2 linked regions of the Mytilus edulis genome follow. The protein of the gene in region 1 interacts with the protein of each later gene in a biochemical or structural test. Links are inferred from orthologs where the notes say so. Each region holds a gene or a part of one and is shown on either strand. Other genes may lie near its edges.

Region 1 (9,330 bases):
TTTTATCACTGGTCAAAATACAATGTAGAAATATTAACTTTCAATTTACTTTACTGAAAGTTTAAAAAGAAATTTTTTATCAACAGAATATCATTTTTATGTGGGGTTAAAACGTTTGTACATGTAACATGACTTATAATGCTTATGATAACACTAACAGTAATTTTTTTATTTATTTTAAAGGTTTCAAAATTCTGCATTAACTGGCATTAACAATTCACAACTATCAAACAGTTTTATGAATTAAATTTTTGTTCTTATTCATGTTATTACAATTGTAAGTGAACTGTGTTTTAACATTTTGGCAATATAAACTGAGGCCTGAACTAATTATAAGTATTACATTTTTAACATGACTAATGGGCCTGCATTTCTATCTTTTTTTCCAATATTATTTATACACATGTACATGTACATGATGTACATGGATGCAATTTCTTACATGTATATGTCTCTCATGTACTTTGGTTAATATTATTCCTGCAGAATTGTGAATTACATGAAATATTTATAATCAACATTGATCAACGGTTAATGACATTAAATAGAAGTGGCATGACTGCAGCCAATGAATGAGACATCTCTTCACAAAAGACCAAATGACATAGAATTAAACAACTATAGGTAACAATGAGCAAAACCAGCACTGCATAGTCAGCTATAAATGGCTGTGAATATTCAAAAGGTTTTTGCGCAATTGCTTAATGTTTTATCCAATTCAATTGCAGATTAAAATGTTTTTAAACCATGCAAACTGATCATCTGAATAAGCATTTAAGGATGTACACCTCTGAGGAGCCAAAAATTTCTAGAATTAAACTTTTTTTCTTAACCTGATTTTTGGATTTATAAGACTGTAACAAAATAATTGGTGAAGAAAAAATCATATGGTGGTGCACTTCTTTTTTTGCTAAAGCCCTTTGAAAATGACCAATTTTGATGATTTTCCCATTTTTCATCGATTTTTACCTATTTTTGGGCTATTATCATGAAAAAAATCACAGTTCCACAATTAAACTTTTTCTCATACTTTATAAAAAGATGAAGTGGACCAATCTGAATAAATTTTAATTACAAAAACTATAGGTAGGTGTTAATATAAGAAAGTTTTATCATATTTTGACGCTTTTTTGTGTAAAATTTACCATGCTGTCAATTTAGCATTTTTCTGATTTTTCTCAGTTTTAAGAACAAAATGCATATTTTTTCAACTTTTTTGTTATAAATGAATGAAAAAAACATATCTAAGAAATTTGAAAAGACCAAAATGATATGGGATGTACATGATTCTTGTAAAATAATTTTTTGTATCCCTCACCCATTTTCTCAAAATTTTGGCTAAAAATACTAACTTGATTGGTCGTAAAATTTGAAAACTGGATTACGAGAAAACCATTCATTGTAAATACACAATTTTTTCACAGATTTATGTTTGCTTATAATATTTTTAAAATTCATTGATATTTTTCCCTTCTTTTACATGTTTTGGAAATAATTCAAGAACGAGATTTCAACGAGACTGAATGAGACTGAAAAGTCAGAAGAATACATCCTTAAGCTATATCATATTATACAAGTATATATCAGTATTACTTATATATTCTATAATTCTATATTATATGTTTTTCCCCCTTTATTTTCCATCATTTATTGATAAAAAATTACTGTGGTGTACTTGAGTTTTTTTGCATGTACAGTAGATAAGATGTACATTGGTTTAGATAACAAATGCTCTTATCAAAATATTTTACCTTTTGATTAATAAGATACATTGTACATGTACAAAAAAACTAAAATTTAAAATCCTTCCTCAAACTGGACATTTTAAGGTCCATTTATTTAGCCTTTAATATTTTTTAAAGAAATCTAAACTGAGATGTTTTTAAATATAATCGTCAATGATTACAGTTATAGGCCTCATTCAGAGTTAGCATGTACAAATATTACTTGTAATTACAACCTTTGTAAGTGTTTGGTGTTTTGAACACATGTACATGTATAGTCATGATAGTACAAAGTCAGTTGCATGTACATGACTTTACATGAACATTTGCATCATGTACATTTTGTAAATCTTTTTGAACTGAATATTAAAAAGGAATGTAAATTTTTCACAAATGTACAAAGTATGTTATGTCATGTACATGTTGTACAATGTATCAGTATCAATTCTTGTAAAATTATGTAAAATGGTAACATATACATGTATACCATGTTACATGCATACTTGTGAGCAACTTTGTATCTTTTAAATCTATTGATTCTTCAAATTTTTATTGGGTTATTGAAGTCATGTTTGTAGCTTTTACATTCTTGTAACTTGCATGTCATGTCCATCACAGGATATTTGACTCTGAGAAGAACCAAAGTAAACAAACAAATGAAAACAACAAAATAGTATCTACCTTTGTCCTCCCATTTACACTAACATTAGTCAATTTGCCAGCACACTTTAAAATAACAGCATCCATGGAGGATACAAGAAATCCAATGTCTTCACACCCCTCCTCGCTACCATCAACCCAAGTTAAAACATCTCCTCTAACATGTTTCAAATTTGAATTTCCACGTTCAGAGTTCATTAGTTGTCCTTCTGTGAATAATCCTTTTTGATGCATATCTTGGACTTGTTCATGAATTTCAAGTCCTTTACCATTTCCAAGAAAATTGTCAATAACACACACACCATAACGATTTAAGCAATTGCATGCATAGTCTGCAAGCATCTTAGTCCTGGTTTCAAGCACTGAAAAGTATGTTTTGCTTGTGTCAAACTCTTCTTCCGTTGTTGGCGGCATTTTGTCAGAACTGTTTCTTTTCTTAGAAGAGTGTCTAGCAATATTTTGTCGAACAGATTCTGATGTAAAAGGTTTTAACTCTGAAATATTTGAATGTAAAAAGAATTCCTTTGAGGAATGTTTGCCAATTTTTGGAACAGTAACTTGTTTATCTTCTTCCAAATTCAATTGTTCTAATCTGGAAACATTTCCAGCAGAATTCGAGGATCTTAATTCACTCATGGTTTTGTCAGTGTCAACAACTTTTAAACTTACATCTTCACTGTCACGTAACCCATCCACACGTGGGGAACCCTCCGGTATTGATATTTCGTTACTATTTATAGACGATTTTGTTTTTTGACCCAATTCTTGCTTTTCGTTTGATGGTTGCTCTGGCTTTTTGCACTTCTTCTTATGATACTTCCAGTCATATTTCTGATGCTCCCTGCTACAATACCATGTTCTTTTACAACCTGCACAGATCATTAAATTATTTACTTGGCCGCAAAGTTGGCAAACGTTGCGTATGTTCCCCTTGTCACGTACACATGCAGCCATTATTTCCTATGTTTACATTCGTTTGATCCAGTCCTCCATGACACAGATAGTGTTCAAGTTGTCACGGATACTAATGAATATTTGGCTGTTTGTGTTATTATACTTTAAAGATACATGAAGGTCTACACGACGAAGCTGTCTTGAATATCACGACGAAGTTGATGTTTTCGGTACTCAGACTGCTCTTTATTTGATCCGGCAATTTACCAAAAACCGAGATGTAAGTCTGGCGACGCAAATGTTCTCACCGGAAAGCTCAAGCTTCAGCATGACGATGTGTCGGTGCGATACGAATGCCTCGCCTGAAGCATAAAAACAATAATGAAAATAAAAATTTCTTTTGTTAATATTCGTATGAAATGATGGAATGACACAGACAAGATGACTTCTTGCATTGCAGAAGAAGATGTTTTATATTTCCATTAAATGGGGCTCACAAGAAACATATATTAGACATCAATAAGACAATAACAAAAGGAATCATAAAATAAGAATATGTATAGGTAGGTGACGGATAATTTTTTTGGCCCTCCCCCTTTTTTCCTAAATCCGTTATCTTTTTGGTTTCCCATTAATTTTAATTATTTCCGCTTCTTATTGTATAAAGTCTGTATACTATAAGCGTAAATGTACAAGAAATATATTTAATTTGTATTTGCTATTTACTATCAATTCCAAGTTTACTATCCACAGCGCGGTCACTGATCTCTGAGACCATATACATATAGGCACTTGCTACGGTTACATGGAAATGTAACAATAATAAAATAATTATTGTTACATTGAAGACTAATTGCCGGAATGCAGGGCTTGGTGTAATAGATGTGCCCTGATGTGCCTAGGTTAATTCCCCTTAATTTGAACAGATTAATTATTTAGTATTTAAATGTTTCTTTTAGGTTTGATTTGATTTAAATATAGTAAGATAAAAGTAAGGATTGTTAATTTAACTGTTTTAGCATTTAACTTTTGATGTTTTTATAATGTTTTAAGAATATTCATTTATTTAACTTTTCGTCAGTACCTTTTATGTTAAAGTTCTCCTGATTAATGACAAGTTTAGGATATCATTTGATAATCAGTCGGTGTCGGCCTTGCACAGGCCTCCAAATACTCGCCGGAACTAAAATTAGTACCACTCGAGTCTAGAGTTGGCCACCACTTCGGTGCAGTTCTCCAGAGTTAGTCACCCCCTTTTGGTACACTTTTACTACTTTAAAACACAACGCGAAGCAAATTTACTTTACTTTTAAGACTAACTCTGGGAACACTCTATTTTTCATTTTACATTTGAAATTACTGTATTTTTGAACTCCATTTAAGAAAGTTTTCTGACTCCTGTTTTATCCGACTTTGTTTAATGAAATTATTGTACATTTTTTAATAAAATATAGTTTCGTTTGATTCATTGTCTGTTGTTCAGCCATAATCTGATATCAGGTATCCCGAAGGTCGTATAGGGACAAAGTACTGGCCACTACACGACCCGGGAGGTGTCGTCACCGACCCCCTCCGTTACACTTGGTAAGGAACCGATTAATTACGTATGTAACAATAGTAATTGAGTCTACGGTTTCATTGCGTTATTTTTACATAAATGCACTTCAATGTACACTGGGACTAGTAATATGTATCAAAATAAAACTTGAATAATTTTATTTGGATTTATCAACAACAATGCAACTCTACAATGCATTTTGATTTTATTTACAATGACAGTTTTTTTGGGGCATGTTTTAGTCCGACACATTTTGGTGAAACCACTATAATTAAGCAGCCTTTACAAACGAGTGATGCAGCAATGTCCACGTCAGTATTGCATTCTGCACTATCTAAAGACTATTGTGGGTTGTTATATGATTTTATGTTCACCTCTCTCCGATTTCAATATCCAACTTAGCATAGCTGAAAAACCTAATAAATCTTAAAAACTTAAAAGTCAATTTGAATGCAATTAATGTTAACAGTTGCCCACATTCATTCGTTCGTCGTTGTTCTTAATTAGCGAAAAAATAAGCAAAAAAACTAGGGAAGGTTTAGTTTAAGTTTAATAAATCTACCGTACGTTGAAGTGCAGTAATGTAACAATTACTCAATGTAACCGCAGACACAAATAGTATTGTTACATTAGTAATTAATCGGATCTGTACCCTCCCTGTATTCCGGCAATTAGTTTCAAATGTAACAATAATTATTTTATTATTGTTACATTTCCATGTAACCGTAGCAGTGCCTTATAGATATGTGTTAGCATGAGAAGTCTCAGCTGATCGGCTACATAATATGTCATGATATGTGATTCAATTGGTACAGTAGTAAGTAAACAAATACAGGTTATTTCTAGTATGATTATGTTCATGTTATACAGCTAAACGCGAAAATAATTTCAATTAAAAGGGAAAAATAACGACGGATTTGAAAAAAGGGGGAGAGCTAAAAAAATTGTCCTGTCCCTAAGTACCTATGAGATAAACCAGGAGTAAACCAAATTGGTTTTAAAGACAACTGCTTTGAATTAAAATTACCGATGTTGTCGACGACTTCAGAGGATGAGTGAAGTGTTTGTTACATATAATTCAACGAACAATCAACTGAAGAAAAATTGAAATGTCAATATACACCTGAGGTAGATGAATAATTCATACTAAAACGTAGGCCTATATCTAAATTATAAATTTTTTATAATACACATCTTACGATGCATGAACACGGTAATATGTTTCAGCATTTCGTGTGTATTTCAGTCTATACGGATAATACCACCTAATTAACCACCGAGGTGACCTCCGAAAACTGCCGACGGTCATATAACCCGATATAAGCATAGATATAAATAGGTAGTAATTCGTGCAATTAGATTTTTTTTAGGTCTGTTTGATTTCATATTTTAGGTAAACAAAATAGGTTGATCATCGTTTTTACCTAACAATGAGCTTACATGGATCGAATAAGTCAAACAAAAAGTTTATCATCCGGCTCAGAACTATTTTTAATAGTGACAAAAGTATTTTAAAGATTATTTGATTTTCGGGGATCAAGTTGTTTTGTCCTATTTCTAATATTTTCGAACGCCATGATATTATTGCGGCACGTGATTTTCATTCGGTTTCACTTTCAATGTTGACATTATTTTTCTTTTAATAGCTGAACACGCCTAGTTCATGGGTAACCGGCCTCTCTGGGGTTAAATTGAAGGCCACATGAATATGAATTGAATGATGTCGAATTTTTCACTTACAAGTGAATAATTTTTCGACCTTTTTTTCTTAGCATATTCTGACAAGATTGAACAAAACTCCCTGCTAAAAGCGAATTATTATTTCACTATATTTCATTTTCATAGATGCTAAAAAAAAAACAAAAAAAAAACCCATATTTTTATTATTTTTATATCTCGAAGTCAATGCCCCTTTGGATTCAAGGAACTCAAATTTTGATGTAAACATGTCTATTATGTCTCTCTGCAACAGGCTAAAATATCAATAGAAATAAAGTGACTGGCTACTGATATCGGTACATTGTCGTCGAAATCCTAGATATCATAAAATAAAAAGGAAAAGGGGCACGGTTTTGTTTACAGAGCCGATGAACACATAATTGATCATTTGAATAAAGGTATCAATTTAAAAGTAATAAAATAATGTTTAGATGGTTCTTATATCAATATCAACATTGATTTTGTTTTTAAGAAGGAAAGAAAAGATAACTAGATATACAATATATTGCAACATGTGTACAAATATGAGAATTACGGATCCTATATCTTCTGGTGTTGTTTTGGTCATGCGTTTCTCCGACTGCTTATGGCGTCTTTACACTAAATCTGTTTGAGATGATACTTAAGTCTGGGAAAACAAAATTTATTTATTAGTCATAATTACTTTTAACTAGCCTTGGTTTACTGCAGGTACTGTTATTTAGGTGCTTTGTGTCCGTAGGAATGTTTTGAGTGTTAGCCGTTTTTGTTCCTTCAGCGTATACCTAAGTTTTGAGGTAAGCAAATTGCAAACTTATTTTCATAGTTTGTTCTTATGTTGTGATGTGACACTACTGTTGCTTGTAAGAGGAGGTTTGAGCGCCCAGAAATATGTTTCGCCTCGCCATATTCTTTGTGATTCTGTACTAAGCTAGGAGACTAGTTTAGTTGTTGTGGTTTGTTTATGTCTGTCATATACATGTTTTTCGTGAATTGATTTGTTGTAAATTAGGCCGTTGGTTTTTATTTCAATTGAATACTTTCATGTTTTTCATATTGGGGCCTTCTTAAGCCAACTATTCGGTGTCTTCCCGATTGTCCAACATTTTTGTAGTACAGGTAAAAAAGTAATGAAATTTTGTGGCACAATCCAGAATATGTTATTGGGACGGGCGCGCATTGCATTTGCACCAATTTCTTAAAAATCCAATCTTTCATTTGCGCCAAACTTCAAACACTTCATTTTCGCCATTTCACAGGTAATACAGGTAACATATAACGGAATGCATTTAAGGAATGACTGTAATATTTTTTCTGTTTATGAAGAAATAACATAAAAAATTTGGTCCACATTGAATAACGCGCGTAGCGGGTTATTTAACAGTGTGCACCACATTTTTTATGTTATTTCGAATAGACAGAAAAAATATTACAGTCATTTCTTATAATTTAATTCTTTATTCCGTTTTAAACCGTAGAAAACCATGAAAAAACGTTGATGACGTCACAGTCACATGACTAAATTATGTCTATGGGCTCATAACAAAATAACGTCAGCCAATCCGGCAGAAGACGCGTTACATCCAAAATTAAATTATTCATTGTTGTATCGTGAATAAGATCTGTTTTTACAGTATTTCTCCTGTACTCATTTTTAATACAAAACTGAGGTTTAAAAAAAAGTGTTCACATGTTTTAGGTGTATAGATTGATATTAATTGTCAGTTCAGAGACAAACAGAGGAAATCTGTATTTGTTTTATGATCACACGCTTATCATATTATATGCATCATATAAAAAATCATGCCATAAAACTTGCAAAGCCAGAATAACAACTGAAATTAATAGAATTATAATTTTACTATACTGTATAATGCTGAGAACTGTCTCGCAATATTTACTCCTTTTAAGATATGTTCAAAGTAACAGCTAGAACGAAATATCTTGTTTGGTTTAATGATGACTAACGGATTTCTGATAATTATGTTTTACTAGTATTATGCAAACAAAAACTGTCTTTATCATTAAGAGTCCGCTTTTTGTGGAAAAAATCAATGTTTTTAATTATTTACCTGTATTATTGCCGCAAATGAAATATGGTCTGTGGCGCAAATGTAAGATTATATTTGGTGCAAATGAAATGCCAATGGACGCAAATGCAAAGCAAAGCACCGAGTGGGATACCTGGGAAGGTTAAATGTGGGACAATCGGGAATTGTTTTGATGTGGATTACTTTGGGGTTTTTTAACCCATAGGGTGACTGGGGTATAGAAATGTGGTCACTTGGTCTTCTCCCGACCGGCAGTAAAACGCTTGCCGAAGTGGGGCGTCCGTTTGGCTGTGCGGGATGTATCAAGTTCGCAGTCACGTCCGTTCAGAAGGGGGACGTTCAATCCGATGCCTCGTGTAAAGAAAGTGCCACGCTCTTTGCATGTTAAGAACCCTTGCAACAACTCTTTGAGGGGTCCGTTGGTGGCCTGTTGCAAGGCAAAATTTATGTCCCTATCTAATATACCCTCATTTTCCAGTGGCAGTCCAAATTTCCCCGACCATCATCCCAGATGGCCTCTATTGTATCAACCTACTTATTGTGTTTATTGTGAACTTGTTCTCGTCCTAAATATGCATGAAATATTTGCCACTGGACGTTAAGCAACCAACAATCAATCATCAATCTTTGGGTTTTTTTTTTAGTGTGAAACAGGTATAGTTACAGGTAAATAATCAGTGTAAAAAAATAATATATGAAATCGCATGAATACATTATAATATTTACATATTTTATTTTGCACGGA
Region 2 (8,459 bases), on another chromosome or scaffold:
ATATTAATGTTTTACATCTTATTTTGTACTTCTTAAAAAAGGGGGATGCTGATTGCGTAAACTCCAAATAAAAGCACATGTTCGACTTGTTAAACTGTTTTCTTTGTAACTGGATTATTAATTTATTTTTTATAGTCTAAATTATTATAAGCTTTTTCTGAAACTTAGGTGAATAACTTGATAAACGAATCGTCTTTCTTCAGACATTTCAGATAGTATTCTCCTGTGTGGTTTGTTGATCTACCTGTACAAGCTCGGGTACAAGTAATTAATTATCTTTATCTAGATATCCCTCAGGCGTTTGAACTGTATTGGATTATAATATAAAAAAGCCTAAGGGTTATGCAATTACATGCATTTGATTATAATTGCTAAAAAAATGGAAAGGTTTCTTATCGTCGAGTTGCAATTTATGAGTTAAGAAAGTCGAGTTGCAAGTTAGGAAAGTCGAGTTGCGAGTTAAGAAAGTCGAGTTGCAAGTTATGAAAGTCGAGTTGCGAGTTAGGAAAGTCGAGTTGCGAGTTAGGAAAGTCGAGTTGCGAGTTAGGAAAGTCGAGTTGCGAGTTAGGAAAGTAGAGTTGTGAGTTACAAAAATATCTTTGACACCTAATTTTCAGGTTTGATTCACACTTGATAAACAAAGCATGCATGTATCCGAACTAAGTTATTCCCGTGATTGCAGAATTTGAATGAGGTATATGTGATACTTATTTATAAGAGTCTAGTAAAAGTTAAGTTCTGGAAGTATTTGAAAAAAAATAATGTTTCCTTAAAGGACGAGATCGATCTTATTTATTCCAGTGCGTTTACACTACAACATAAAAAGGATAAAAAGAACCAGTCTGACCATAAATTACCTTATTACCGTATATTTGGTAAACAAATAATCCTAAAAATAGAATAGTAAAGGAAATTCGGCATCTCGCGTGGACTATAACACACTGCAAAATAATGGAGAAAATAGTTTGCTCATTGGAATTTCGTATGGATTAAATTTTTAAAAAGCTGAATATTCATAATTTGGAAGTAAAGCTTTACTTTTTTCTCAAGTCAGTTAACAGAGGCGGATTTAGAGGGGTTTTCAGGGGGCCCTGCTCCCCCCCTTTTTTGCAAAAAATTTGGTTTATTATATAGAGAATCACTGAAGTATGACTGGAGCGGGTCCCCTCTTAGGCAGTCAGTGGACCCCCACTTATGAAAATTTCTGGGTCCGCCATTGGTTAAGCAAAAACTTTGTTATATTTTGGTACAAAAAAAAAAGGTACAAAGAGTTATAAATTAGATACTTATTTCAAATTGAAAAAATGTTTTTCTAAAGAAATGTACCTACATGCATCTTTAAAACAATTTTAAAATGAAGTGTCATATGTAAAATCAGAATCAGTGGCCATGATCTCAAAATAGAAAGAGACTGATATAAAACTTTATATAATAAGACTTTAAAGGCTTTGTAAGAAATGTACTCTAAATCTAGTTGAAGATGAATAACATTTCATTACAAGTTGTCCAGCATGTACAAAGATGATCTGAAGGGAGATATTTTACAGTCTCTGTACTAATTTTTCCTATCTCTCAAATGAGACAAAATTTGTTTGGTTATTTACTAATGAAAATTTGTCTGTACTTAAATATTTAGGAAACTATATTATTACATATCGAGATGTTAGACGAAATGTAAATGAATATATGTACATTGTAATAACAATAATAATGTTAATTGTAATGATTTTATAGTTCAGGTCCTGTCTTGAATTAAATGTATGTGACTTATTAGAATAACATTTCAACAGCAACCCAACCAAAATATACAATTCAACCAAAGGCCATTAGGTTTTCAACACAGCGAGGATCACCCACCTAGAGGGAGCCCTGAGCAGGCCCAGAAACACAATGTTCATTACATCAAGAATATGGACCCCATTCTATGCTCCTAAATATAAAGATAAACCAAAATTTTTAAAAATATGCAAGAGTAACAAAGGCTAACTATTAAGGTTCCTGACTGAGCACCTTCATCTCTAGCCGATGTAGACATACAATGTATATAATTTTAACGTCCACAATATTGAGTGTCACTGCCAAAGAATAAATTTTGCGGTCCCTAACGAAAAAAATTGCCCGGCTCTGGAGCTGCCCCATAAAGCTCACTCTATACGAAATCTGCAGAACTGAAGGGTTATTTTACATTTATGTATTAAAGTTTGGTTGCTATCTCCCTTTATGTTTAATATGACGGTGCTAGCTATGAAATTTAATAATAATTAAACTGCAAGCCATCCGCTGTATTTCAAAAGGCTATCTGCTTCTTCAGAAAATACGATACGTATGATTTATATGTAAGCAATCCATTTTATTTTTACAAGAGACTCAGATGAAGTCCAAACAACAAAAATAATCAACAATACTGTATACAATTCTATAAGCCATCATCATTCCAAATAAATATAAATCACTGAGTTTCGTTAGCACATTTTGACGCAACTCGACTTTCCTAACTCACAACTCGACTTTAATAACTCGAAACTCGACTTTCTTAACTCGCAACTCGACTTTCTTAACACACAACTCGACTTCTGTAACTTGAAAATCGACTTTCTTAACTCGTAACTCGACTTTCTTAACTCGTAACTCGAATTTCTTAACTCATTTGTGACTTGCAACTCGACTTTCTTAACTGGCAACTCGACTTTCCTAAATCGCATTTCGACTGTAGTAACTCTTTACTCGCAACTCGATACTCAACATCAAGTGAATCTCAAAAAATGGTGTTGAGCTATAAAAAAAGATTACAGTTTTGAACGATGGCGGAAGACAATTTAATGATGGCGCAGGTTATTTGATGATGGCGCAAGACAATTTAATGATGGCGCAAGATATTAGAACAATGGCGAGGCACAGGATATTTAAACGATGGTGGGGAGCCATGACTTTAAACAGGCCATGGAGATCCCTAATATATATTGAATTTTCAAATGTGCAGACAAGAAAATAAGCATGGCGTGGGTAATTTTAACTTAGCGTTTGTAGTTTTAGCTTGTTGCACTGCCACACTTAATTATTAGGTTGTGATGATCCCTGTTTGAATAATGTATATTGATTTAGGTGTCATACCACCAATTACTCCCTCAAATTTAGAACGTATGTGAAAGTAGGCCTACTCGGACAAAAAAAAGTGCATTTGATGTCATTGTTCACCTAAACTAACCAACAAATTTGCAGAAATGAAAGTTTTGTTCAAAGAGAAATATATTAAGACCATTTTGAGCCAAAATTTACCTGTCTATGAGTTTGCATTAAAAATTGAGGATTAATGCGCTCCATAGTATACTAATTTAAGATTTCCAGAAAACCAGGGGTTATTTTTAGTGGTACCTCCTTTCGGAAGCTCTCTGCTTTCTTATATGATTTTGAATGTAACGTGACGGTACCCAAATTGCACCTATTTTGACAGTTTTTTCATCTACGTTTTTTTATGATGAAGACAAAAATGTCCAGTCTGTGTTTATTTTGTAGCCCTATCCTTCTTTATTATAAAGGTACACCAATTTGATTTTTATTTCATATGGAATCATAGAAAAATTGGTCTAAACTGACCTCCAAACCATCAATGATTCTGAAATTAGGAGTACCCAAATTGCTTCCATGCTTAAATTCGCATCGTCAAAAGTCTAATAACAGAGCTTTTGTTTAATTTCTTTAAATATTTTGAACAATTGGATATTAGTCCATGCTTACTCTTCATTATTTTTTAAATGGATACTTGTAACATATTGTATTTGCTCATTTTAAAAAGATGACGTTTTGATGACGTCGCATGGTGACGTTTCAGTACATTTTGCTTTTTCAGTAAATACTTCATCTGTTGATAGATACTGTGAACGTTTTGTGCATATCTAAATAGTTTTACCTATGTTGAAAGATGTGCTTAGTATCAAATCATAAAAAAACAAATTGTTTAGTCTCTAGAAAATCTTGTAAGATTTTCGCTGCTAGTTTTGCTAAATAGGTGCAATTTGGGTACTTGGTGCAATTTGGGTACCGTTACGTTATGTTGAAAATTGGCATGAAGAAAGGTGACACCTGTACAATTCAGGATATACCTAGTTTCTATGAAGTTAAACTTAAGGTAAAATATTTAGAAAGCTGTGAAAATTGCAAAATTTGGTTGAACAGATAGGGACTTTTAATTGGTGGTATGACACCTTTAGTGTCCTGTATTCTGTGTCCAACAATAGCAGATAACATTATCATATGGGTACCAGACAGTACAGCTAGTTCATGGAATTTTTTTTTTGCGGCTACAAATTCATATCATGACTAAACAACAGCTTTTTTTAAGTTGTATAAACCAGCATTTTAGGTGTTGATTTAATTACCATAAAAATGTTGATAAGTTTGCTTACTCAACTCTAAAAGATAAGAAGGTTTTGATGGGTCTGGTTTTTTTCTCAAAGTAACCAGTCGTATACACTATTTGCGGTTGTCGTGTATGGGAATCTAATTAAAAAAAAATATTTGCATTTTATTTACTTTATCAATATATGGTATATTAAATATCATATATTAATCATGGAATCTGCTATTTTTTTTAATTAAAATCATTGTTTTTATTCAACATGCACCGGTAATAGTATGTCGTAAAAAACATTCAGAAGTGAAAGTTGATAATCTTTCCGTATTTTTATTTGCAATTTGTTTTTCTAACTGTCACTTAAACATTCCAGTAACAAGAAAGTAGGTAGATGAGATGATAAAATACATCAGTTACGAAAAGTTAACTGTAGATTGATAATTGCTACGAATTTGATCATTTGATGTTCAGAGTGTGCATGTTTGACCTTTTTAGTTTTTGACAGCATGATTTACAGACCGGTATCAAACACTGGCTTAGGTACAGACTGCAGGATTTTTAATTAAAAAAAAATGTTTTTTTTTTTTGCAATGAATATTAAAATTTTCTATTTTCATACCACATACTTAACATTACAATACTTGTCTTGAAATTTTTCTGATGAAATTATCAATATAAAGTACGTAGCAATACCACCGCTAGAGCTACACAATACACCTTATCGCTATTCCCGGCTGACCCGTCCGCTTGAACTTTTGACGTCAACAACAATCACTTTTCCATTGTGGCGTCAGACATTTTGTTTTATGACGTCAAAATTTTACGGGAACCTGTGTGATTTCCAGCAATGGCGGACAAATAGCGATAAGGTGTATACAACATCCATAGCTAGAGGACACACAACACTATTTCTTGTACCGTATGCCAGAACTTCAACATACAGGCATTCCTTCTTTCCAGACAGCATACAGATATGGCCTTCCACAACCTTTGGTGGATAGTACCTAACTAGATGCTTTCAAGCAGGGGGTACTGAGCTGTAGTATCCCTTAATCGCACCATCAGACTGTTTTTAACTTGCACCTGTAAATATTTTCTTGCACCTTTGTTGTCACACCCAGCATGGGCAATAGTGCGATAATACTCAATTAGAGGACTGCACTGTATTGGAAGAAGAAAAAGTAAATTTTGTTCTATCATGTCTATAATGACTTTTTTAATGTACTTTTGAATATTGGTTAGGAATGTCTTCTTTGGCAAAGAAAGTTGAATCCAGAGGTTGCAGCTTTATCTGAGTATTTTCATAATAATGATGCAGAGAGCATCTACTACTCATGCTACTGGCACATACAAGTGAAATCAATCAATTCATTTGTAAAGTTAGATATTTTCGCCATGAAAGTATGTCCACCAGACACTATTTCACAGAATTGTGTCCACTGTTATTATGAAATTTTGTCAGGATGATATCTTGTCCTCAGATGTGAAAAGTGTCCTTCAAAGAAAGGACCATATTTCATAGGCTAAGGGTTCCTTCATAGAATGGACAGTATCTTACACAAAACAGTGTCTACTCTCAATACCTATGTATGGGGGTTTTGTCTCTAATAAACATGATAAAACACATGACATGTAAACTTTTAGTTTTTAAATCATACGAAATATCATCACCATGTGTAATTTAACATTAATTTTACAATAAAAACATGCACTTATACACACACAAACAGTAATAGAATTGAGAATGGAAATGGGGAATATGTCAAAGAGACAACAACCCAACTTAAAGGCAGTAAGCAGACAAAGGTGTTGTTCATGAAATGCATTTAAAAATATTTTGTTTAGAACAACAGAAACCCAGATATATATTTATACTATTAAATGAGAAGACCTCATTTTGTGTGTTGCTTCTCTTCCTTCCACAATAAATTAATCATCATGCCTTTGTGTCCTATAGGCATGATATATAGGTACAATGCATAGTCTCATTTATCATTTATTTATCATCCTTGCTTATGATTATTCAGTTTGGGTTATTTTGGGAGGAAAATAAACATGATAAAGGTGTCCAGATATTGTTTTAGACTAGATTTTAAGTACTTTGGGACAGTACAATTATTTTAGAGTTTTTCTGTATACTGTGATCATACATACATGATATATAGTATAAATAAAGTGTATTTGCTATTTACTATCAATTCCAATACTGTTGTTTACTTTCCACCATTTATACATGTTTACCCGTACTACATTTTTGTACATGTTATAGTATGTGTTCATTATATACAGAAAAACAACAAAAAATGGTCTGGAAAAAAGGGGAAGGGCTAAAAAAAATAATTGTCCTGTTCTCAAGTACAATGTACCTATGACTAATGAAACCTTTCCTGTAATTTTCCAGGTACAATTTTTTTTACAAAAAATTATCCTTCAACAGATTACATATGCTCTAAATGCGATTTCTTGGGTGTGTTCTAGTTAAATTGAAAAAAGAATATTAAATTATTAAGACATCATTAACCTCTAGATATTACAATGTATTATGCAGGTCATAGGTTAAAAAACGCTAAACAAGGCCTTAGGCAGCAACCATTTGATTTTTTGAGGGGGCTATGGATTTTTTCAGCCTTATTTTGGCGACAAGTCGAAAACATTATTCTTTCAATTTTAGCATTACATACATGTATAGTGGCAGCTGAGGGTGAAACAAACATTTTTTTTTCTCAAAGTAAAAAACAAATTATTTTTTTCTCCAAAAACTGGAAACAGACTTCTTTCCAAAAAAATCCATAGCCCCCCCCCCCCCCCCCCCCCCCCCAGAAAATCAAATGGTTGCTGCCTTATAATTATTGTGAAGAATAAAATGATTAGAGAGACAACGGAGAGCTAACTAAATAATTCATTATCATTAACAACTCTTTACAGTCTACCATGCACCTGTTATGAATATATTTCACACATATAGTGAATATAAAGCCTCTTTTGTTACATGATAAGTGGTAATCAGGTCATCAATGGATTATTTGGACTTGTCAATCAATAATATAGTTTCTGTTTTACAGGTACATTTTGGTCATTTATTACAGGCTACATGTATATCAAATACAATATAAACATTTTTTGATGAAATAAGAAATTTGAAGGATTATTTTAATTTGTAAAAAATATAGTACAGTGTAGTATATCAAATACAATATAAACATTTTTGAAGGATTATTTTAATTTGTAAAAAATATTAGTTATATTTTTTACAAATTCAAATAATCCTTCAAATTTCTTATTTTATCAAAAAATGTTTATGTTGTATTTGATATACATGTAGCCTGTACACGTGTACATTAGCCATGAAAACTCAATCAATAATAATACAAATTGTACATCATTGTACAAACAGCTATATATGGCTTAGTGCACATGTCAGAAATCTCCTTTTAGTTTTTAGTGTTTAAGCTCTCTTTAAGCATTTAGTATTTAGTCAGGCGCAGGACATTTTAGGGAGAAAAAAAATAGCTACATGTACTAGGGGACATTTGAGCGACAACACTAGAGCCCATTTTTGCATTAGATTAATTCGTTCACCTGTATATTTCGATAGCCCGTTTTAGGGAAAACTTACCTGGTTGAATATTAGTAACTCACTAAGCTTTGGGCAGAAGTTCATTGTATTTTAAAGGGAACAAATAGTGGTCCAGAGTCGTTCCATGACCATTATAATGAGCAATGTTATAGTTGTCATCCAGCTATTTACGTTTTTCTTGATACTATTTTCAAATTGCAAACAACATATACAAAAACACGAAGTATAGACGAATGTGCATCAAAATCTAGACAAGATAAAGAGAAAGAACAGTTTCTAATGCAATTCAACAGTATTGTATGGGGGGTATATCCAGAGCCCATTACGTACGTTCTCTAGGACATAAATTCCAGGCTAGAACGAACTTGTAACATTTGATTAAATCTTTGAGACATTTAGTGCTGTATTTTAATGGACATCATATGTTTTATATTGTGATGTCTTGAGTCTATTAAAGTTTTTCGCTAAAATGGGTTCTACTTTGGCGCTAAAACGTCTGATTTTTTTCGGAACATAGTGATGATTAGTTGA

The links. The genes of interacting proteins can lie anywhere in the genome.
Region 2: the proteins of egl nine homolog 1-like (region 1) and peptidyl-prolyl cis-trans isomerase FKBP8-like form a complex in vitro, tested with the Homo sapiens proteins (2 studies listed by BioGRID, with this or other methods). The link is inferred for Mytilus edulis from reciprocal best matches to the Homo sapiens genes EGLN1 and FKBP8.

Annotation. Positions count from the first base shown.
Region 1 is NC_092346.1:64,074,496-64,083,825, reverse strand, and holds the start of egl nine homolog 1-like, read right to left. Parts: upstream 3,667-9,330; 5' UTR 3,339-3,666; coding exon 2,406-3,338; intron 1-2,405. UniProt on the Homo sapiens protein: Cellular oxygen sensor that catalyzes, under normoxic conditions, the post-translational formation of 4-hydroxyproline in hypoxia-inducible factor (HIF) alpha proteins.
Region 2 is NC_092347.1:90,565,288-90,573,746, forward strand, and holds the start of peptidyl-prolyl cis-trans isomerase FKBP8-like, read left to right. Parts: upstream 1-4,620; 5' UTR 4,621-4,733; coding exon 4,734-4,734; intron 4,735-8,459. Other genes in the region: U11/U12 small nuclear ribonucleoprotein 35 kDa protein-like, read right to left, coding at 4,377-4,379. UniProt on the Homo sapiens protein: Constitutively inactive PPiase, which becomes active when bound to calmodulin and calcium. Seems to act as a chaperone for BCL2, targets it to the mitochondria and modulates its phosphorylation state.